3 linked regions of the Drosophila melanogaster genome follow. Each later gene encodes a partner of the first gene's protein in a complex. Each region holds a gene or a part of one and is shown on either strand. Other genes may lie near its edges.

Region 1 (6,509 bases):
TCTCTCGATAAACTTAAATAGACACGACTTTATAAATTGGAATCTTAAATTAAAATCTTATAGTTTAAGATGAGTTTAATGTCTATGCAAACTGAAAATGAAAACAAATTTGCTGACGCAAATTACGTTGAAAGCGTTGTAAATGCAGACATTAGGTTATTATTTGATTTTTTTGTAAAACGATAGTTTCAGAATGACAATCTGAAGTTCTCTTTTGTTTTTAAGTGTTAAGATAAAATGGCAATGAATAAGGATTTCTTTGTTTCCTAATTACCTTAATAAAAGCAATTTCCTATTCTACAAAAATAAGGTTCATTCACCGAAGATAATGTTCTGGCTTCAATGTTTATTCATCTGTGTTTACTAAAATTTATCTTGCCGCGTATATACAATTGTAGTTAAACAAGTTAATTACTGAACCCTAGTTCTTTTTCTTGCTATTAAGCTCCTTCTTCACTCCCTCCAGCTCTTGGCGCACGTTGTTCTTAAACATGTTAACGAAGGATCTACAATTTGGAAAATGCATGTCAGATTGGCGGATTCAGCCAGATGATTCTGGCGATTCTTTCACTCACTTGAAACGCTCTGGCGTCATCTCGTGCAGTCCCTGCTCCCGGGCCAAGTCTTTTGTGCGGTACATCAGGGAAACGACCAACTGGGCAGCGCGTCTCATGGGATAGCTCTCCGCCATGCGCTGGATGAGCTGCTCGTTGTTGGCCAGGTAGCGCATTAGCAGTCGCAGCACCATCTTGCCCTTTTTTTTATTTTGCTGCCGCCTAGAACTCTGTGTCCTTGTATTTGCGAATTAGCTGCTGCTTAAGCTTCAGCTGATTTCGCAGTAGTTCCAGTCTCTGTTGCTGCTCCTCCTTATTGAAATCGATCCCGGGGAGCTGGCGGATTTGCTCGCGTGCCGATTCGAAGCGTTTTTGAAGTTCAAAGATCTACAAATCAAGTATATAGCGGTGGCAACTTATGACGAACCAAGGACTCACCTTGTGGTTGCAATCCTGGGACTCGCGCAGCTTAACGGCGTTCTCCAGAGGATCCTTTTCCACGCTGAAAGACACAAAGACGCCAGGTTATATAAGGTGCGGCATTAATTGCGCACTTGTTGCTAAAATCCGCCGATTTTCGGCATTGTCCGTGCAGGGGCAATGACACCCGGAATCCGCATCCGCGATGACCACTCACCAGCGCACAATGTCGTAGATTATCGGCAGAATCTCAATGTCCAACTGGTCAACCGTCAGATGGCACTGGCCGCCGATTCCGTTGGATGTTTGCGTCTCCTGCGATATGGTCGGCTCGAAGGGGGAGTTCGAAGTCTGAACCAGGCCGTCGGCGGTTAGGATGGGTTTTCTGTCCTCGATCTGATTGTTTGGCGACAAATCCATCATAAAAAACACGAATCGAATTTCCAGCGTCAGAATCAATAGGACCTTACCGACAACACGTAATAATACCAAAGTAATGCCCTCACATTCTCTTAATTCGATTAATATACTAAAGGGAAAAGTAGTAGATGCACAACCTGCTATCGAAGTACGATAGACCGATAGAGCCAGGCAAATGCCGCCTCTGCTTATCGATAACAAGCAACGAATCGTTTAGAATTTATAAAGAAGAAAAACATAAAGCCAACATGAGCGACAGCGGTGTTTTCGCCTTCGTAAGTAGCTGCACAAATAAAAAACTCAATAGATTAAACCTCGTTTAATCTATCTAGGAGCTTGGCGATGACCTAGCCACACGCTGTGGCAATACACTCACTGGCGTCTTTGTGCCGGGCTCACGAATCGCACTCAGCGCCTACCGGCATGTGACGCACAGTTCGCGGGATGAGCCCACAGAGAATGCTGGACAGGTTCCGGTGCTCATCTACATGGCGCAGGAGTCGACGCTGTTCGACGAACCCGTTCTCCGCAGCGTACTCGCCGAGGCGAATGCCACGTTCGCCACGCTGCAACAGTTGGGTTCGCGGGCCACACGTGCCGAGTATGTGAATATATCCCGGGCATACAGGAGCATTGTGCGCTCATGCCTGGAGAAGCTGGAGCAGGCAAAAAAATCGCCGGAGGTTCAGACAGATGAGGCGCGCCTGCAACGCTTATGTGATGCCATCGTTGTGTTCTATGCGGCAGAATGCCTGTGGCATCTCTTCGAGATTCTGTACATTCAGAGCAATCAGCTGGTGGTGCCGCAGCTGCTCGACTGGGCGCGTTTCCACTCGCCGCACGCAGAGGACAGAGCCACGGATCTACTGCTCATGGGAGAGGAGGCCAGCGAATCTGATGACTATTGGAGCATTGTCAAATCACTCATTATGCTGGGCGAAATAGATGTTACGAGAGCAGTTCTCTCGCAGAATCGCAAAGCTGGACAAACGAGCTTCAAGGCGGCCGAACAGATCCTGAAGTCCATGCCAGTGTATCAAGAGGGCTATGCCCTGCAGAAGTTTCACTCGCAGTGGGAGTTCTGGCACGTGGATACGGAACGCAAGATTCAGTCCGGCTTATTTGCCACGGAGCCGGAGCTGGAGCAGTTGATTCGTCTGGTCGCCGGCGACAGCGAGCAGTGGGATGCTGGCATCAAAGAGTCCCAGGATTTCTATGAATACCTGCCAGGATACCTGCTCTTTACCAAGCCCACCTGCAAACCCTTTGAGCTGAAAATAGCGGCAGCCAAATGGCTAAACCGATGGTGTCTTCTCCGGCCGGAAAGAGAGCAGTGCAGCATGAACCGCATGGTTTCTCAGCTTATGGATCACGATCTTAGACTATTTATATACGATGCTCAAAAACTTAACGACACACACTGGTTCTCAACGCATTTGATTGATCTTATCCATCATTGTGGTCAGCTGAAGAGCTATTTCGATCAGAACAACATGTGAGTTTTTTTGTCAGAAGTTATGTTCAATCAATATGCTATATATTTTATGCACCCACAGCGATCTTCCGGCCCTGCGTCACTCAATGATCTATGAGTACGGCAGCTATCTGATGACGTCCCACAATATGTGGCAACTGGGCATCGACTATCTGGACTGTTGCAAGCAGGAGGGTCAGGCGGCTATCGAGCTGCTTTTGCCCCGAATCACTTTGCGCAGCGAGCGGCAAGCCACCAAGCTTATTAACCTGGCCAGGCAGCGCGGGCTCATAAGCGTAGAACGGGAGATCTGCAAGGTGCTTTCAAAGCGATCCTACGATAACGAGCGTTATGGAAACGCCCTGGAATGGGCCATTCGCTCCAAGGATGTGCTGCTGGTTACGGCGGTAGCTGACTTTATTTTAAAGGTAAATATAAACTATTTTTGCATAAGTATTTCATTCAATTTGATTTGTATATTGATCTGTGGCATAGCATTACTCGAAAACTGGCTGCATGCTTTGCCCGGACACCATTGCCAATGTCGGTGGCCGAATGTTTGCCTCACCGCGCTTGGTGTTTCTCTCCAAGTACTTTGAGTTCTATGAGTTCTACCGTACCCGTGATTTTCTTTCTGCCTCCGAGCTGCTGGTGAATCTTTTGGAATCCAAAATTACGCCAGACTAGTAAGTTATTGGGTTTACTACGAACACATTTAAAAGTAACATATATTCTTCCATTAGCTTTTGGCCATCGTTGCTCATCGATTCCATGCCACTGCTAGAGTCCAAAGATCCGAAGATCTTCGCCAAGGAAACGGTGGCCATTCTGCATCACATTGAAACCGATCTGGTGCCCATCATCGAACGCGATGTGTCCAAATATGGAAAAGTATGTCTAGCGTTGCTTGCGTTTTATTGATGTCTAATAATTGGGCTATTCCTTCGCAGCACCACACAGAAACCGTGTTCAAGGACTATCGGGTGGAGAACGTTGACGAAATCATGAACCTCCTGCGCCTGGCCTGCGCACGCAATTTGGCCCGAGCATTGATCATTGAGAACACTTTGCCCGTGGTGTGATTTTGAATGCATTTTTAATGTAATTTATTTTGTATTTTTCGCTTTTCCAATACATCGTAATTTGTTATAGATCGCGCTTGCATTGCTAACTTGTTATTCATACGCATTTTGTTTATATCTTGTGCCTCTTTGCTATGTATTTATTGTACCAACAACACTACTTGACTGGCTGCTGCCCTTTGACTAAAAAGGTAATCCAAGCTGCTGGGGGGCTGGAGGGATGTTCACAGTACGCATTTGTAAAATAAGTGTTCCCGTCGAACGATGTCCGTCCCGGTCAACTATGCTAGTTTGAACGGCGTGGGTAAATCTATAGGATACACTTCTCGGTTATAGGTTAGGCGGGCAAACAAAGGTGCTTAGGCCGAACTTAGAACTTAATATATAAATCAAACACTACGAAATAATTCAGTATGTTAGCTGCACATGGAGGAAGTTGATTACACACGTATGCGACGCACCTAAGAACTATTAAACAACGCCCAGAGTACAAGGGTAGTACACATAGTTTGATGCATATGCGTGGATATATATATATATATAATCTATTATATATCTGTGGGGTATGTATATAATTATCATATATTGTGGCTGTTACTTGTTATGAGAATCGCACGGCCTTGTACAAATGTTCGGTTACTACGTACGGAATTACATTTAAAGTCGCTTGTCTCTTGGCTTGGCCCGCGGACCGCCAACGGCATTGTAAAATGTATCGTTCGCTTGGTAAAAAACAATAACTAAACTAAACCAAACTTAGACGATAGGCCGCCTGGGGGGGGAGTCGCACTGTATACTATCATTCTAATTCTTAACAAACTTCTCTCCTAAACGTTTTGTATGCCAAATCACGCTAGGCAACAGAAAATACTCAAATAATCGCATCCTTTTCACTTTTAAGAAGATTTTAGATTACTTTTTAGGATTCCAATCTCGAACTGACAATGAAGTCGATTGTATAAATGAGTAAATATCAAAGTATATATAAAAGAGACTTTTAAATTGAAATCTTTTGTAAGCTACAATCTAAACTGAATAATCACAATAAACAAAAAAAAAATGAAGACATGTACGACCATAAAATTTTAACATTTTAAAGACAAGAGAACATGAAAGTTGTCAGTTCGGGATGGAGGATCCTGTTGCCCAGCGCGGTCACCGAGGGACTACGCCGCTTGAGTATTTCGCTTATCGCTACGCCCAATATCGGTTATTAATGTAAGTCTGAGTGTAGGTGTCTAATTCTGCTTCGCCGTGCCCGCGGCCGTGGTGGCTGCGGTGGCAGCCGCTATGGCACTGCTGCCCGTTATCGAGCCCAGCCGGGAGAGCGATGGCTCCCGCTTGGGTGGCACGATCGGCTTGGTTGGTATGGGGGGCGGTGCTCCGCGAGCGCCCGCTGGCGGCACCGTAACCGGCGGCACGGCAATGGGAACGGGATGAGGATGCGGTGTTGTTGTCTGGTCGAGGGCAGCTGCCGCAGCCAGTGCGGCATACTTGCCGCCGGGCGCCCGCTGGATGGTGGCCGTCGGCTGCATCTTTGCCGGAGAGGGTGAGGGTGGCGCCACCATGGGCACGGTGACCGTAGCAGCCGTCTCAACTGATGCAGCTACTGCTGCAGCTGTTGCTGCTACTCCAATGCTGCCGCTCGAGTTGCTGTTGCTGCTGGTGGTGGTGTTATTCGTGGTGGTTGTGATGGTGGTAGTGTGGTTGAGCACGGCAGTTAGTGGTGCTATTGCTGCTGTGGCCGTGCCCGTGGGCGCCGTTGCGATTCCAGCGCTCCGGATGTTCTGGCCCGGCGCAATGGAGCGGGCGATGCCGGTCTGTGGTCCCGAGACCGGCATGCTGCTAACCGTGGCTGTTGGCTGCACGATCTTGGCGATGTTCACCATGGGGGGCGTGGCACAGGCGTCGTCTGTAAAAGCGCAGAGAAATGGGATTAGCATTCGGCTTATGACAGCTCCGTAAAACACTAGATTTTCGGATCTCCGAGGCGGATTGGCCTAACCAGAAGCCCATATAGAGCTGCAAAGCCATTGCAGATGAGTTCTGGGAAGGCCTGGCTTGTGTGGAAATGCTTTGGCATGGTCGTGAAAAGTCTACAGACGCCACTGGTGTCAATTGGCTACGTTCTGGCTTTTGTCAGGGTGCTCCAATCGCTGGGGTGCGAGCGTGCGGGGTGGACGTGCGAATGCGTGATCTTTGGGTTGGTGCAACGTGAGGTGCACGAGGAACATCACAAAACAAAAAACAAATCACCTTGCAATTGCGTAACATTTTTTCTAACAAAAGATTTCGGCTTCAAGAGGAGTTCGAAAAAAAAGTAATATATATATATAGAGTTAAAGTTTGTATATAGAAAATTATAAGGAGGGCAACCATATGTATAATTACAACAGCCAGTTTCCAGGTGGAATTGCCTTGTCTGGCTAACTCACCGCTGAACTGTCGCGCCTTGGCGGCGGCCACGGATGAGCCGCTGCCACCCAGTTGCTGCTGCTTTTTCAGAGCCTCGTGCTCGCTCCGTAGGGCGTTGAGTTCCTGCTCCAGCTCCTTGACCCT
Region 2 (6,250 bases), on another chromosome or scaffold:
GTGCTCGTCGAGCAGCGCCTCCGCCTTGAATTCGCGCTCGCACTCCGGACAGATGAACGTCTCCGTGGGCGCGATGTGCGTCTTCTGGTGCAGCAGCAGCGAGCTGTAGTTGATGAATCCCTTGTCGCACTGCACACACTGATGCGGCTTGCGCACCGAATGCGAGCGCATGTGCACCATCAGGCTGCTGGACTGCGTGAAGGCCTTCGGGCAGAGCTCGCACTTGTACGGCTTCTCGCCGCTGTGGATGCGGATGTGCGTGTTCAGGCTGCCGATGTGCGTGAATGTCTTCTGGCAGATGGAGCACTGGAACGGCTTGTTGGTGATGTGCGAGCGCACGTGCTTGGACAGATCGCCGGCGTTGGGAAAGCTCGCCTCGCAGTGCGTGCACTGGAAGCATTTCTGGTTGCCATTCAACGCTGGATCCATCACGGGTGCACCGATGTTGCTCCGCCTTCCGCGCCGCCGCTTGATGGGCGTCGATTGCAGGCCCAATCCCGGGCTAACAGTGGGTGCCGGTGGTAGTAGCTGCTGCAAGGGCGTGACGCTTACGGTCGGCTGCACCATGAATATGGAGGTGGACTCCCGCGGATCTGTCATCTGCAGCTGGAACTCATTGTAGCCCGGACCGGCAACCAGGCCGTGAAGTGGCTGCACTGACTCCTGGCTCTGCTGGGTATTGGAGTTGCTGGTGGTCGGCACCGAGCTGCTTGATGAGCTCGAGTTGCTGGAACTCGAACTGGAGCTGCTGCTGTCGTCGTCGTCATCGTCATCGTCGTCGTCCGACGACGAGGAGCTGTCGGAGCCCGAGGAGGCGCTCCCATCCGACGAGTCGCTGCCATCCTCCGCCAGCTCGCACACCGGCTCGAATATCCAGCTGTAGTCCTCGCTCTCGTCGCCCGGGCTCTCCTGCTCTTGCTGTCCATTGCCCGGCTCATGGGGGTGCAGGGTGTTCATGTGCTGGTACAGCGCCAGCGGATGGACGAAGAACTCCGCACAGCACATGCAGTGGAAGGTGAGATCCGGCGGCTGTGGCTGCTGCGGTTGCTGCTGGGGTGGATTGGGTGCCTGTTGCGGCAGGAGGTGCGTCTGCTGCAGGATTGGCGTGATCGTCAGGGGCAGGTGGTGGTAGCTCTGTTTCAGCTGCACGGCCATCTTGCCAAAAGGCTGTGCAAATCAAACAACAAAAATCACAAGGAACACAAGCGACGAGCGTGTGAACATTTTCTCTATAATAAAAATGCGCGTTTGCGGGGAGAAAAATCAATGCCGTACCTTGGGTGAGATTAGATGCGAAGTGCCGTGGATCAGGGGTTCCGTAGACTACTATTATATCACTGGTGTGTGCTGTTGCTCAGGTTCCGTGCTTTTGTGTTTCTCTCAGGGCTCTCGTCCACATTCGTCCACTGCGTTCCATTTTATGCGCCGCCAGCGAAATGCGAATAACTTGCTTCCTGTTTTCGGTGCTCGCTTGTTTTTGAATTTGGCTGCTCGGTTCCGTGGGTCGCCGGAATCGCGTACCGTCCTCCGACCCGTTGTCTGGTTAGCTGCGACTGCCAGGAGCTGCGACTCGAGCGAATGCAGCGCATCGCCCAATCGCAATTCTGCAGAGCCAAAATCGCAATTGCAAGCGTCTTCGCCGTGCGTACAACAAATAAAAGAAAAATGTTTTATGTTGGGCGGCCCTTGCACGATTGGACGGCAGCATATCGTCATGCAAGCGTTTCGTGCACGTCGCCAGCATGATGACCGATAAACCGCGCAGCTTCAAATTCAAACCGCAATCGATTGTTACATCTTTCGAAGGTTTTAAACATTTAATAATATTTAATTTAATTTCGAGTGCCTAAATCTAAGCAAGTTTTATTATTAGTGTTTAATTTCACTTAACAAGTTGCTAAAATTATTGAATTGAGCCCTAACATCTTAAATAATATTAATATTAAATATAAACTGCTCATCTCGTTCCCCTTGGATTTTCTTTCTTGCCAAACTACAGGCTAGTCAGACTAACAAGTTGGAAAATCCAGAAAGCAAGCAACGTGGATCGTTCCTTTTCAAGTAAATACGAAAAAGGCTACCAAAATGGAAATGGATTACTATCTGCCAGTGTATAACGGATCAAATTCGGTGGACGTGCCGGGGCTGATTGAAAGTCTCAAGCTGAAGGAAACCAGTATATCGCCAATCGTGCTGGATCGCTATCCGCCGTACTCCCCGTTCTATGGCGTGATGGGCGTCGTATTCTCCAGTGTGCTGACCTCCGCTGGAGCGGCCTACGGAACTGCTGTTTCCGGAACTGGAATCGCCGCCACAGCGGTGATGCGTCCCGAGCTGGTGATGAAGTCCATCATTCCGGTGGTCATGGCGGGCATCATTGCCATATACGGTCTGGTGGTATCCGTGCTCCTATCTGGGGAACTAGCGCCTGCTCCCAAATACTCGCTGCCCACCGGCTATGTACACCTGGCCGCTGGACTTTCGGTGGGATTTGCTGGACTGGCTGCCGGATATGCAGTGGGTGAAGTCGGCGAAGTGGGCGTGCGGCACATTGCCCTGCAGCCACGCCTCTTTATCGGCATGATCCTGATCCTTATTTTCGCCGAGGTGCTCGGTCTCTACGGCCTGATCATTGGGATTTATTTGTACACGGTCAACATTAAGTAGCAGAATTTGTTATATCTAAAATATTTAATTCGTTAAGAAACGTTTTTATCGATCTTTAATATTTGAAATGCCTTTTGAATTTCTTTACGCGATTGTGGTACTCATTTCAGGTACGCCGTTGCGGTACGCGATGGAGGTACCCCATACTAATGATTCTACGGAATGCTGGTACCTTATTCTTTAGCAGCTTTGCCGAATTACTAGATATGTAAACAATTTAAATCAATTTGTTTCTTACGAAATTTGCTTGAATTCAGTGAGAATCGCTTATTTACAAGTGTATGTGCAAGGGAGCTTTCTTGCTGTTCCGTCATCTGGTAACACTGAACGCTCCCGGCATTTTTAGCGAATAGCGCGTGAATTTCTGTTTTGATTAAATTAATTGAATTGATGTGCCGTAGCTGATAGCCAAGAAACGCATAGTGCAGCCATGGCCGACAGCCCGTTCCCGAGGAGCAGCCGCAGTGGCCTGCTACGCACGACGCTGAACAGCTCGATGCCGCCGCAAAATCTCTCCCACTCGCTGCTCATCCTCGAGAAGAGCAACGCGGAGCAGAATGAGCTCTCGCTGATGGAGGACACCGGCGATGATCTGGATCGGGGCAAGAGCCGCATGGACGTGCTCTTCCCGCAGTTCTTCGACGTGCTGCAGGCTCAGGGTAACGGGCAGGAGGCATTCGAGGTGATCCAATCGCTGACGCAAGTCTGTCGCGGCGTGGTGGAGCAGCTGGAGCTGGAGATCGATCACGGCATGGGTGGGGAACAGGGCGCGCGGCAACGCGAGTCTATGCTCACCTGGCTGCGACAGGAGATAAACACGTGGCGCCTGCTGCACGCCCTCTTCTACGACCGCATCCTGCTGCAGACGGACAGGCAGGCGGATGATGAGATGCAAGATGGCCCCACGCTCGGCGGCAGCGAGAAGGAGGTCATACAGCAGTTGTACGCCCTCAATGCGACGCTGCGTGAGTACCAGCTGGTGGTGGACTGGCTGGAGGCGTGCTACGACCGGGGGGAGCAACAAAACCCACTCCACGCCCACGATCGTATGATGGCGTGGGAGAACACGCTCTTCCAACTGGAGAACCTGCAGGGCGCCGCCTTTGGCAAGGGCCATAAGATCGTAACGCGTCTGGATCCAGATGCTCCCGTACGCGAGAAACGACCGTTGCACGCCCTCGACGAGGAGGACAACCTGCGCCTGTCCCGCGCCATTTTCGAATTGATACGAGCGGGACGCGTCGACGATGGCCTCAAGTTGTGCAAGCACTTCGGACAGACGTGGCGGGCGGCGATCCTTGAGGGCTGGCGTCTCCACGAGGATCCCAACTTCGAGCAGAATGTCTCGGTGCTGCACGAAAAGCTGCCCATCGAGGGCAATCCCAGGAGGGATATCTGGAAGCGCTGCGCGTGGATGCTGGCCGATTCCAAGAACTATGACGAGTACAGCCGCGCGACGGCGGGTGTCTTCTCCGGCCACTTGGGCTCGCTGAAAACCCTTTTGCACAGCAACTGGCACGATTTGCTCTGGGCCCATCTGAAGGTGCAGATCGACATCCGTGTGGAATCGGAGATACGCGGCTGCTGCCTCAAAAACTACCAACCGATGCCCGATGATTACTGGAACGGCAGGATGACGATGGAGCAGATCTTCGAGGAACTGAACGTTGCCAAGGATGCGTCGGTGCGGGATTTCGCCCAAAGTCAACTGGGCATTATCCAGCGTCATTTAATCCTGGATACTTGCGGCGAGCTGATCCAACACATGGTGCGCTGGGTGGAGAAGGATACCTCCCAACAATCGCCCCATCAATTGCGCTTTATGGCCCACATAGTGCTCTTCCTGCGTCAAATCGGCCGTGTGGAGCAGGAGCGACAGGCGGAGAAGATCGTAGCCGCATATGTGGAGGCATTGATTGCCAGGGGCGAACCGCAGCTAATAGCCTACTATACTGCATCGCTTTCGAATCCGCTGCAGGTTCAGCTCTACTCGCGGTTTCTGGAGCAAGTGGAGCAGAAGCGTCCGCGGGAGCTAGCTGTGGATGCCGCCCTGCAGGCGGGCTTGGATGTGGAACAGATCACACGCGTCACCGTGCAGAATATTCGCCTCGCACATCAGCCACTCGGGGAATTCGGTGAGCCGCAGTCCGGCGAGATCTCTGCAATCGATCAGCGCAAGATCTCAGCATTGGAGTGGCTAATCCATTTGCCGGAGCAGCGCGGTGAGTTGCTGTGGCAGGCCAACGCCATGATACGCACCTATCTGGCCAGCAGCAAGGTGGAGTGCATGCGCCAGACCTTCCGCATGGTGCCGGCCGACATAGTGCAGCAACTAGTCAGCTTGTACGGCTCGGTGGACAACATACCACCGCGTGAGGAGTGCTGCCTGAAGGAGTATCTCTGCTACAAGGCGTATCTGTCTGGCGTCGACAGTTTCGTCGAATGGAACCGCCTGCAGCAGAACAGGCCCAAGAAGCCACAGACTTCACACGCAGCTTCCTCGCAGGACAACTTCACGGAGCGCATGGCGAGTGAGCGCAAGGAGCAGGCTCACCGATCGGAAGTCGTGCGCTGGGAGCACAAGGTTAAGGAGCAGGCCAAGCGTAAGTGGATCGCATACCCATTAATGAGATCTTTTGGCATATAACCCGCATTCTTTCCCTGCAGAAACCATCGAACTCCTGTACAATGTGCTCATGTTCCCGGACAAGGGTTGGCTGGTGGATCCGTTCATCGCCAAGCTGCCCGAGAACGCCGTGCAGCTGAGCTGGGATCATCGCCTACTGCAGATGGAGAAATTGCGCTCCATCTGCATTCCTGAGATCGCCCTGTTTCTGAACGAAGTGATGTTCAAGTCGGGAGACTTTGCGGGTTGCGTGCGCCTGGCAGATGAAATATCCAGCGAGAATCGGCAGTTGTACAAAGTCTATACGAAGCACAAGCTGGCAGAGCTTCTGGCCAAGATCGCGGACGCCTCCCTGGAGCTGCTCAACTCGAAACTGGATCCATGGGGCTATCCTATAACAACTTAGCAATCCTAGTACATTTGTGTGTTTTGCGATTACATTCTAACTTTAAACGTTTATTATTTATTCACTGTTCAATTATACAACTAAGGAGGGGGACAAATGGGAGGTAGGTAGGATGGAGGGCTTAGGAGTTGTTGTCCACGGCGGCGGCGGAGGCGTTGTTCTCGTCGCACCCGTTGCTATGCTTTAGTAGGTAGGAGGCCAGGAACTGTATGGGATCCGTGGGCCGTTCGCGAGCCAGGGCCTGCATTCCGTGGAGCAGAACCGGCGCCACCGTCTGGTCGAGGTACTGTCGCGTGGGCATGTTGTTTGTCTCGCTACTGGGCTTCTTGGCCACCGCCGGCTGCTGTTGCTGCTGCGCCACTGGATTTGTGGACTGGCCAACGGCAATGGCTCCGGATGGAGGAGCTCCCGGCGCAGCGGTCGGGTTTGCTTGCGCATTGCTGCTTGCATTTGGCTCCTTGCCAGCTTCTGCCGGCGGATTTGTTGTGGGCGCTGGTGAGATGGGTGCGTCGGTCTTGGCCTCCATGGCAATGTGTTCCTTTTGTTCAGCA
Region 3 (8,730 bases), 5.5 Mb from region 1:
CAGTTCGTCCTCCAAGAACGCGTCGCCCGCCTGTTGAGCGGGATACAAACGCTTTCGGCCATCCAAGCTCGTCGTCATGGCTGCACCTTGAGCTGCCGCAATGGGACTCAGATCGCTGCTCATGTCAAAGTTTTGCGGTGGAGGAGTTCGCTGCTGTTGCTGCAGATGCAGTCTGCGTACGACATTAACTCGCAGTTCGTTATTTGTGTTGCTGCGGCGCACAATTTCTGAGCTGCGGGAAGAACTGCTTGAACTCCTCACTGGGTCCACGCACTTCAGCTTACAGAGCCCGTGTTTTCGTCGTAGCCAGGGACTACGGTTCTCTTTGTAGTCTAATATCACCTTGCGGCGCACGAACTCGTTGAAGATTAACAACTCGTTGCTGATGTCCCGACGCACGATTTGCTTCCAGAGCGTTTCGAGGTTCGGTGAGCGAATTATACAGATGGCTTGCGAAGCGACCAGCATGAGCAGATGCTCCAATGCAAGCAAACAAAGCTGGCCGTCCATGTTGGAGAGCAGCTCACTGGCTGGACAGGTTCCGGTTGAAATCGAGACATTGGACAGAGGCTTGGAGAAGGTGCGGTTGGTTTGGTTGCCTACACAAACTTCTGGATCATCGTTGTCCCCGGAATGCTCAACGTTGGGCAGTGAGTTTAATGGCACCTCACTGAAGCCATGATTTTGCTGATGTTTTGAAAATAATTAGAACAGAATGGACACACTTATAATGCCACATATACATACCATATTCAAGGCCTTTACGTATATGTTTACCAAGTTGAGGACGATTCCAAATGTGAGCGTTAAGTTCTCTTCGTTCAACTTAGGTGCACCAAACTTAACGTCTAGTAAGATTGAGTGTTTGGAGGGCTCATATGCACTGCAGCACAGTAGTTCCATTAAATCCGGACTAAATCTAAGCAAGGCTTTAACGCAAGAAATTATTATATCCGTGAGGCTGTTATAAAATGGAAATATTTAGTCTAGTATAACAACATTATTCAAGTTAACTTACTCATTGCAGGCGGAGATAAGTTCATCGTCAACGATTAGAGCCTCTGTGCTGCGCAGAATTTCTAGCTGGGAGCGTCGACCAGCCAGAAGACACTTTAAGTTTTTTTGCTGGTGAAACAAAGATGAGGTGTGGCACAGCAAACTCTGAACTGCACGCTGTGGATTTCAGTTAAGCGATTAAAATATTATTTAGTTGAACAACTAAAACAGAACCCACCATTAGGTTAGCAAGCGACAGATCGCTGTCTTGCTTCCACTCTTTGTGGTGCTCCGTCAAACTGGCGACTAAGTTAACAGCAGCCTTGATTAAGTACATGGCTGACGGTTCCAAGGATTGTTTGCTCAATAACAATGCATCCTCCAGGAAAACAGCATGAATGCCCACAAATTGAAAAGCATCTTCAAGAAAGCACTTCTTGTGCTTCTCGTAAATGATGGTAACAAGCTCAATACCTCTGGCGTATACAGGCCACCACTGCTCTACGGTCCAACCTTCTGCATCCGCAGCCGTCGTCTTAGTAAACTCGTGTTTTGACTGCAAAAGTTCTCTGGGAGGCAACAGTTTCAGCCACAAGTATTCTCCCACATCGCAATGCAGAAACTCAACTGAACAGTGGCCCTTGGCAAATACAATGAGCACATCCAGCAGCTGCACACTTAGAACTTGTTTGCTAAACAATGGAAGGGTTCTAGACACACAGCGCACGAGCCGTTGAAACAAACGCACCGACACAAATGGCAGATCCCAGTTTCCGGGACCGTCGTTGTGGAATATGGTAGCGACAGCCTTTAGCAAATTCAGGCAGAGAATAAGTGAGTTGGTGGATGTCTTGCTGTCTGAACTGTCCGAATTATTGAGGCCCTGCGATTTCTCCAGGCTCACCGAGTTCTCCATGTGCTGCAGTTCGCTGCAAATGATGCCTACGACTGAGTTGAGAAAACGCAAGGCTATGGACGAGTCCCTGATTAGCAGGTCTGTGTATAGATGTGTGCACTTGGTCACAATGGCCAGGCATGCCTCTTTGGCCCTTACGTGCTGATCCTCATAGCACGCACAGATGCGGTTCATCAGTTGCAACAGTAGGTCCATTAGTGTCTGTTCCTCCTCTAAACTGTCTGTGTACGCGTGCTTAAATTCCAGTAAGATGAATACATACAGTTCAGCCAGTATGATGAACGGCCGCATGTCCTCCAAATAATTTGAGCGATCAACCAGGACAACCAGACACTTCTGCGCCATTAGCTTAAACTGCGACTCGGGTATGGTCACGAACTTTGGCTGTTTCTTTAGCAAAATTACAATAAGATCCTTAAAAGCCTGCAGGCAACAGATCCAGTCGGGCAAATGGTCGGAAGAACTCAAATTTTTTACAGCCGGAACCTTGGGCATGTTAAAGACGTAATTAAGCCAAGGTCCAAAGTTCTTCTGTTCAAAGAACTTATTCATGACGTCAAGCAAAGCGGCATTGTTTCCATTTCCCGTATAGACTTCAATGGATATAATATTTAGAAGCTGAGTGTAGATTCGTAAATTTGGCTGTAGCTCGGAAAAGAGCGGCGAACAGAGTTTTTTCCAAAACTGTTTATCCTTCACTAGATCATCCACTAGCATTTGCAGATTATGTTTCCACATTGAGTGGAAGATGGTCATGATCTTAGCGGGCAAGGCCTGTTGAATGGTTAATGGATCCACTTGAAGGGCGTCCAGAAAGTCTCTCATATAAGTGACAATACTCTCGCCAATATTGGGAACACAATCCTTACTGAAAAATGACCGGGAACGTTTATCAAGGGCATAGTTAACCTTGAAAAATGCCTCGGTAACACCCGGTTGCTTGGCAATGCATGCGTCCACCAGCTCAAGGATGGCTATCTTTATGGAATCACTTTCTAGCTCATCAGGCAACTTCTGCATAAACGTCAATCGGATTTGATCAGCCTCCATGTCCAGACAGGCCAAGAGAGACATATTGAACTGGAGAGCGATTCTTTTCAGCAGGCGGCAAGACAGAATCGGTAGCCATCTATCAAATATGTTGCTCATGTAACTGCATACTGTAGGTATGATCCGCAGAGTATCACGCTGTTTGGGTTGTGTGTATATCAACGCCTCCAGCGGGGAAAGGGTCTCACTGTTTCCATATACCTCTTCTTTAAGGCGCAGTAACTGCATCAGGATACGCATGGATAGACGGACTAACATCATTAAGCCGTGAGGTTGCTGCTGCATCCAATTTGTCTCTAGCTCCATGGTGTACTGGACATAAGCATTGCCCACACCAACAAATCTAAAATATACATTTTATTTAAATTTATTCTTGGTTGGAGTTACGGTAGCTCTTACCTCAAAAGAATCAGACCATTTTCCAAATTTAGAAGGGAATAGACGCACACCTTTACCAAAAGTTCGCGTTGCTTGCAATTAGATTCTTTAGCAGTGTTAAACAAGTCCAGGATGTCGCATATAAAGCTAAGAATCTCGAAGTAGATCTTGTTTCTCTCCACTTGAGAGCTAAAGTGCCAGGTGTGCAAGTGCGGGAAAACATCCTTTAACAGGAATATAAGGCCGGGAATCTCCATCTGGATTTGGCGATTCCGTTTCAGGTTGGAGTACGCTCGCAGGAACCCAATGTATGAAAGCAAGAATTCGTAGCGCTCCCTTTTCTTCTCCACATTATCAATGACGGAGCCTAAAAAGCGCGACTCAAAGCCCACTCCATTGGCATTGGCATACATCTTGAAGTCGTAGTGAGATCCCGGGCTTACTGTTGGCAAGATGTGTAGGTTGCTTATCCGCGAAAAGATTTCCTCGTCTACCAACGGCAGCAGCGCAGTGCAAACATTGAGACAGCTAGACAAAAGTCCAACCGGTGGGTATTGAACGCTTTTGAACGTGTGCAGCAGATCAACGCACATCTCGGTAGGATGCACCATTTCGGCGCTGATGCCGGATATCGATTGACTGAGCTTAACGGCACTTTCCAAAAATCTTAAACCAGCTTCTACATTGCGTATGCGTTCGCTCGATTCAAAGTCACCATGCAGGTGACCCGTCTCGCGTAGCAGGCAGTTAATTTCGTGGTGCAGCGCGTCAAAGTAGTTTACCGGGAAACGAAAGTGCATAAAGCAGCCGGACGGATGTTGGATGGCTGTGCAACTAGTTCCTGCGGGTATGGTAAAATCAATTTGCTGAAATGGTTGCACGCTGGCCAGGAGCTCGAATTCATTTGTGTCCACTTCTCTGAGTTTGTGCTGACTTTCGTCGTAACGAAGAGCCAATATGGGCAAAGCCTCTAGTTGGCTCTTGACCTGCAAGATTGTTAAAATAATTTTAACTGATGCCTTTGAGTGTACAAGTATTGGCTTACATAGTTGCCTTGTCCCGCTTTTGTCAGTGACAGTGCCAGTTTGGACAGATGTGTTAATTCTAGAGGGAAGTTCTCTAAAAGAGTTTTGTACAGCGAACACGGACCATCATCTAGATAAATGTAAAGTTGTTCGTTCTAAACTAATTTTTTCGGTTAAGCTCTTTTGATTATATGATACTGACCTTCCCGACTGCAAAAGTCTTTAGCTAAGTGTGGCCATGAGACAAGTTCGCAGAGCAATTCGTAAATGCCCTCATACCGAGCGCAGCTGCCATCGCCGTCGAAGAGGTCGCACAGATATCCAACCTGGTTGTATATGGTTCTTCGCACAATCCGTGACAGCATAGAGTCATCGGCGTACATAGAATGTCTGGCAATTAGGTGCAGTTGGACAAAACACTTAAGATCCACGGCTCGCTTGCCCAGCTGCCGACAGCGGAGCAAGCTGGAGGCATCGTCGGCATCGTTGGTGCCTCGCAAGCGAAGCAGCATCCACGCTAGGAGCAAAGGGCCATGCTCTGGTCTGTGGTACATGCTGGCAATATCAACCTGCAGATCCTCTATAAGCTTTTCAATTAGATCGGAATGCTTCTCGGGCTTCTCAAAGTCGAGGCACTTTAAAACTAACATTAGCTCTGAGTAAGAAAGGCTTCGAATAATCTCCTGATGGTAAGGTTGGCTGTCATCCAGATAACTTTGCATCTTTCCAAAGGAGTGTTGCTTGCAGGCGGCAAATATTCTCTTTATCTGCTCCAACCCCATGGGCAGGTGTTCCGCTAGCACCAGAAGGATGTGCAGCACCTCGTTGATCTCACGAGCATTTCGCTCCGACCAGGCAACTAAGCGTTCCGCAGAGTGGAAGCATTCTCCCGCCATTAGCTTTCTGGGTGGGACTTCGCAAATAAGGCTCTCCAGTTGGTCTAGGTATGAATCTCTAAGGCGGGGGATGGTTATCTTTTCGACCACGGCGCGATACTCCCGGTGATAGGGATGATTCGGTACCTGGTGAAAGACGATAAGATTCTTAACAATCTTGAGGACAACCATGCGTTCCAGGGAGTAGTAATGCCGTATGTCTTCGTGCAGTTTGGCCATATTCGTTTCGGTAGAGATTAGTTGGGTAAGGAGACTCGCCGATCCACGGTACTCCTGCGTAAGGTAGTAGCAAAGGATTTCCCAGCACTGGGCGGATTCTAGATCCAACAGATCCTGCAGTCGTTCGGTGAAGGGCAGCAGCTTTTCCTGCTTTTTCTCTTTGAGCAACGTGCCCAGCTCGAGGCTGGAGGCATTCTTGGGCTTAAATTGGAGCACTCCAGCCTGCAATTCAGAAGCCACGTTCATCAGCTCCTCACGTACAGTATCCTGCGGCGTCTCATAGTGGATTCCTGAGACCATCGGCCACAGGCGCTTCCAATCGGTGCTACATGGCAAATCGAAGGATTTTATTTAGTCATTCAATATTGTCGCACTGCCGATACTCACATCACGCTCTTTTCCACCGCAGGCATTGTCTAGGCTCTGTCTCTTAACAACTACAATAAAAAATTATTTAATAACAAATGTATTCTGTTCCACGCGCAAATTCGCGGCGTTGGAGTTGCCACCTAGCACAATAAAATGCCGGGACAATCAGCTGGTAACACCGAAGGTGTATCGATAAAACGATAGTTCTTGTTTTAAAAAGCCAGTTAGAAAATTGTGATACAGTACTTTATACATTTTCTTTAGCTTACTAAATCTTACTTAAATCAAGGTATGACATCTTAGATCTGATGATCGCTTATAGATTTATACAAATAAAATATACATGGAAAGCACGTGTGCGCCCCATTATTTATCTATTATTGTAGCATTACAGTTAAATTGGTATATATTTCACGCGAATAGGTTTAGAAACCTATTTTATAGGTTTCAAATATAGACGTTCGCATGTGGCCCTTCAATCATAACTTGACACATGCATTTAGCATTCAGATCTTGATATTTCCCAAATATTTCATAAATAGCCTTCCAATCCAGCCGGACTAGAACTATTTAGGTTAGACTTTCCAATCACATAAAGCCATTCCAGTGAGGCTGTGGCTGCGGCTAACAGACCTGCGAAGTCAGAGTGCAAAGTGCGCAGATGCTGCACTCCGGCGCCCACTGCACCGCCCAGCCACCCAACCACGCCATTCTAGAGGCCCATTTCTTGGAAACTAATACCACTACTCCTCGGCTAGCCGCAGCCTCCCATCTTTTCCAGATCTAAGAGCGAGCGAGAGAGGAGCGGAGAAGGCGCGAGAGAGTAGGCGCACTCGAAGTTCACGTTCACGGCGCCTGGAAGCTGCAGCCCGAAAATTGTCCTGTTAGTACGAGAAAACTATTGACAGGCGAAAGGTCTAAAATTGCTCATATTCTGGCAGAAAAGGCAGATTGGACTTCAAAAGTCTGATAGCCGCAATGGCTCAAGTTCAGCTCAACGCAGGAAATGGGCAAGCCCCTAGCAACGGAAATAATGTCGAGGATAATGAACGTAAGTCTGCCGATTGGCAATTGTGAAATCATAATAGAAAATTGAGTGATTGCCCGGAAAGTGCACAAGTGTTGGTCTGCACAGTCCTAGTGGAAGGACATATGTGCATACCTACGCACATAGTGTGTGTCATGTATCAGGATATATGTAGGTATATATGTATGTATCATAAAGGTGTATGTCAGCAGCAGCTAGCATCTTTGACATAGCTAGGATGCTTTTTGGCCTGGCGTTGGGTGATAACTTAAACGGGAGAGCGAGCATGAGAGCAGGATAACAAAGAGAGAGAAATGTCTGAAAGGATGCTGCGAGAGCGCCAGAGATGCCACTGCTGCCCAAAAGCAACAAGTTTTTGAACTTAAGCTAAATCAGATAAGGCTAGAACTACCTCGATTTCGTTAGTTAATTTCGTAGTGTATAAAGGGGTATCAAATATAATTATTATAATCTGTAAGCTTTTATATTATTCAAAACAAGGACAATAATTAAAGGTAACTTATTTCTTTTATTTCCATAGCCTATCAAATAAGTGACGATGATTTGGATGACCTGGATGATGATTGCTTGCTCGAGGAGGCAGATACCTCAGGGGCAGGCAATAATGTGGGACGTGGTCCTTACGAGCGTGCTTGGACCACAGAGGCCACCAGGGCATTGATTCACATACGCGGTCCCATGGAGGGTAGCTTTACAGAGGGCAGGTGAGCAAGGTTTTTATTCCACCGTAAAGACATCTTTGTAAAAGTAACTCCCTTACAGACAAAAACGGACTGCTCTTTGGCTGCACTGCACCCGGCAACTACAGCGACTGGGATTTCGCTACTCCGCCGCAAAGGTGCAGAAGAAGTGGCATAACATCCTCATCACCTACAACAAGAATCTGAACAAAAAATACGTATCCGGCTATGTGCACTGGGAGTTCTTCGAGGAGATGTTCAAGTATCTGCAGGGCAAGAAGGCTGACTTTGATATGCAGTTGCCACAACAGACTTCAAATGCGCCACAAGCTCCACATTCGGCTAATGGGCAAAACCCGAATCCGGGTATTCCCCAGCAACCTTTACAGCTTCAACCTACTCCGGTGAGCCTAAAGCCGGGAACACCCCAAATGCAGGTGCAACTTCCACCCCAGACTGCGGCCAAGGACAGCCAGCCGTATATTACACCTGTGGATCAGGTCCTGCTGCAGGCCCAGATGAATCTGGACAGCAAGTCCAACGATGAGTTCGATGAGGATAGCAACAGCATGTCGGAGGTAGTCCGTCAACCCAAGATGGAGTACGATGGCGATCAAGTTGCGGAGGCTGAACGTACAAACGATAGCAGCCAACATCTGGAAGTTAATGGCAAGCTCTACGATCTGGCACGACCCATGGGCTCGCACCAAGCTTCTGGCATCCCCGATGACATCTGGTGGAAGGACTACTTTGAAAGAAAACTGGAAGTGGAGCGGGAGAAGATAGAGCTACAACGGAGTTTGCAGCGCGAACAGGTGCAGATCCAAAAAATGTCACTGGTGCAGCAGGAGCGGATTGAGCGCATGAAGATCGATGCCATCAACAGCCTGACGGGCACGCTGCAAAAGTTGGTGGAGGCCAAGTGCCGCCGGGCCTAAGATGAATCTGTTCCCTCCCAGTAAATTTCGATAACTTTAGGCTTCGATTCGTCTGTATCTAGTTGGGTGTGTAAATACAATTTCGGCTAACTAAAACACTCTACGGCTGCCAGTCTATCTCGAAAATGCTAGCCAGGGAGGTCAGCTTTCCGTGGGGTTTCTCCAGACCATAACTTAGGCTCCAGATATCCGTGGTAAAGATCAGACCTTCTCCT

Evidence for each region. The genes of interacting proteins can lie anywhere in the genome.
Region 2: Nup75 (region 1) and Nup107 share a complex: the UniProt entries of both Drosophila melanogaster proteins name them as parts of the nuclear pore complex.
Region 3: Nup75 (region 1) and Nup188 share a complex: the UniProt entries of both Drosophila melanogaster proteins name them as parts of the nuclear pore complex.

The regions. Positions count from the first base shown.
Region 1 is NT_033778.4:18,162,205-18,168,713, reverse strand, and holds Nup75 (nucleoporin 75kD), read left to right. Parts: upstream 1-1,573; 5' UTR 1,574-1,642; coding exon 1,643-1,669; intron 1,670-1,726; coding exon 1,727-2,889; intron 2,890-2,950; coding exon 2,951-3,296; intron 3,297-3,363; coding exon 3,364-3,554; intron 3,555-3,611; coding exon 3,612-3,759; intron 3,760-3,818; coding exon 3,819-3,950; 3' UTR 3,951-4,020; downstream 4,021-6,509. Other genes in the region: CG42518 (uncharacterized protein), read right to left, coding at 422-506, 576-748; MED9 (mediator complex subunit 9), read right to left, coding at 777-941, 993-1,056, 1,192-1,397; Naus (nausicaa), read right to left, coding at 5,189-5,862, 6,386-6,507. UniProt on the Drosophila melanogaster protein: Component of the nuclear pore complex (NPC) that seems to be required for NPC assembly and maintenance. Required for nuclear import of phosphorylated Mad via importin msk.
Region 2 is NT_033779.5:10,732,793-10,739,042, reverse strand, and holds Nup107 (nucleoporin 107kD), read left to right. Parts: upstream 1-2,971; 5' UTR 2,972-3,097; coding exon 3,098-5,270; intron 5,271-5,334; coding exon 5,335-5,699; 3' UTR 5,700-5,750; downstream 5,751-6,250. Other genes in the region: CG12299 (uncharacterized protein), read right to left, coding at 1-1,155; Vha16-5 (vacuolar H[+] ATPase 16kD subunit 5), read left to right, coding at 2,086-2,667; Dpy-30L1 (Dpy-30-like 1), read right to left, coding at 5,821-6,225. UniProt on the Drosophila melanogaster protein: Plays a role in nuclear pore complex (NPC) assembly and maintenance. Required for nuclear import of Mad. Mediates the association between the nuclear pore complex and a subset of active chromatin regions adjacent to lamin-associated domains.
Region 3 is NT_033778.4:12,680,180-12,688,909, forward strand, and holds the start of Nup188 (nucleoporin 188kDa), read right to left. Parts: upstream 6,001-8,730; 5' UTR 5,894-6,000; coding exon 5,868-5,893; intron 5,806-5,867; coding exon 4,568-5,805; intron 4,496-4,567; coding exon 4,386-4,495; intron 4,327-4,385; coding exon 3,362-4,326; intron 3,306-3,361; coding exon 1,235-3,305; intron 1,174-1,234; coding exon 1,019-1,173; intron 962-1,018; coding exon 748-961; intron 688-747; coding exon 1-687. Other genes in the region: CG13148 (uncharacterized protein), read left to right, coding at 6,828-6,900, 7,418-7,601, 7,660-8,515; CG30053 (uncharacterized protein), read right to left, coding at 8,616-8,730. UniProt on the Drosophila melanogaster protein: Component of the nuclear pore complex (NPC), a complex required for the trafficking across the nuclear envelope. Required for proper protein transport into the nucleus.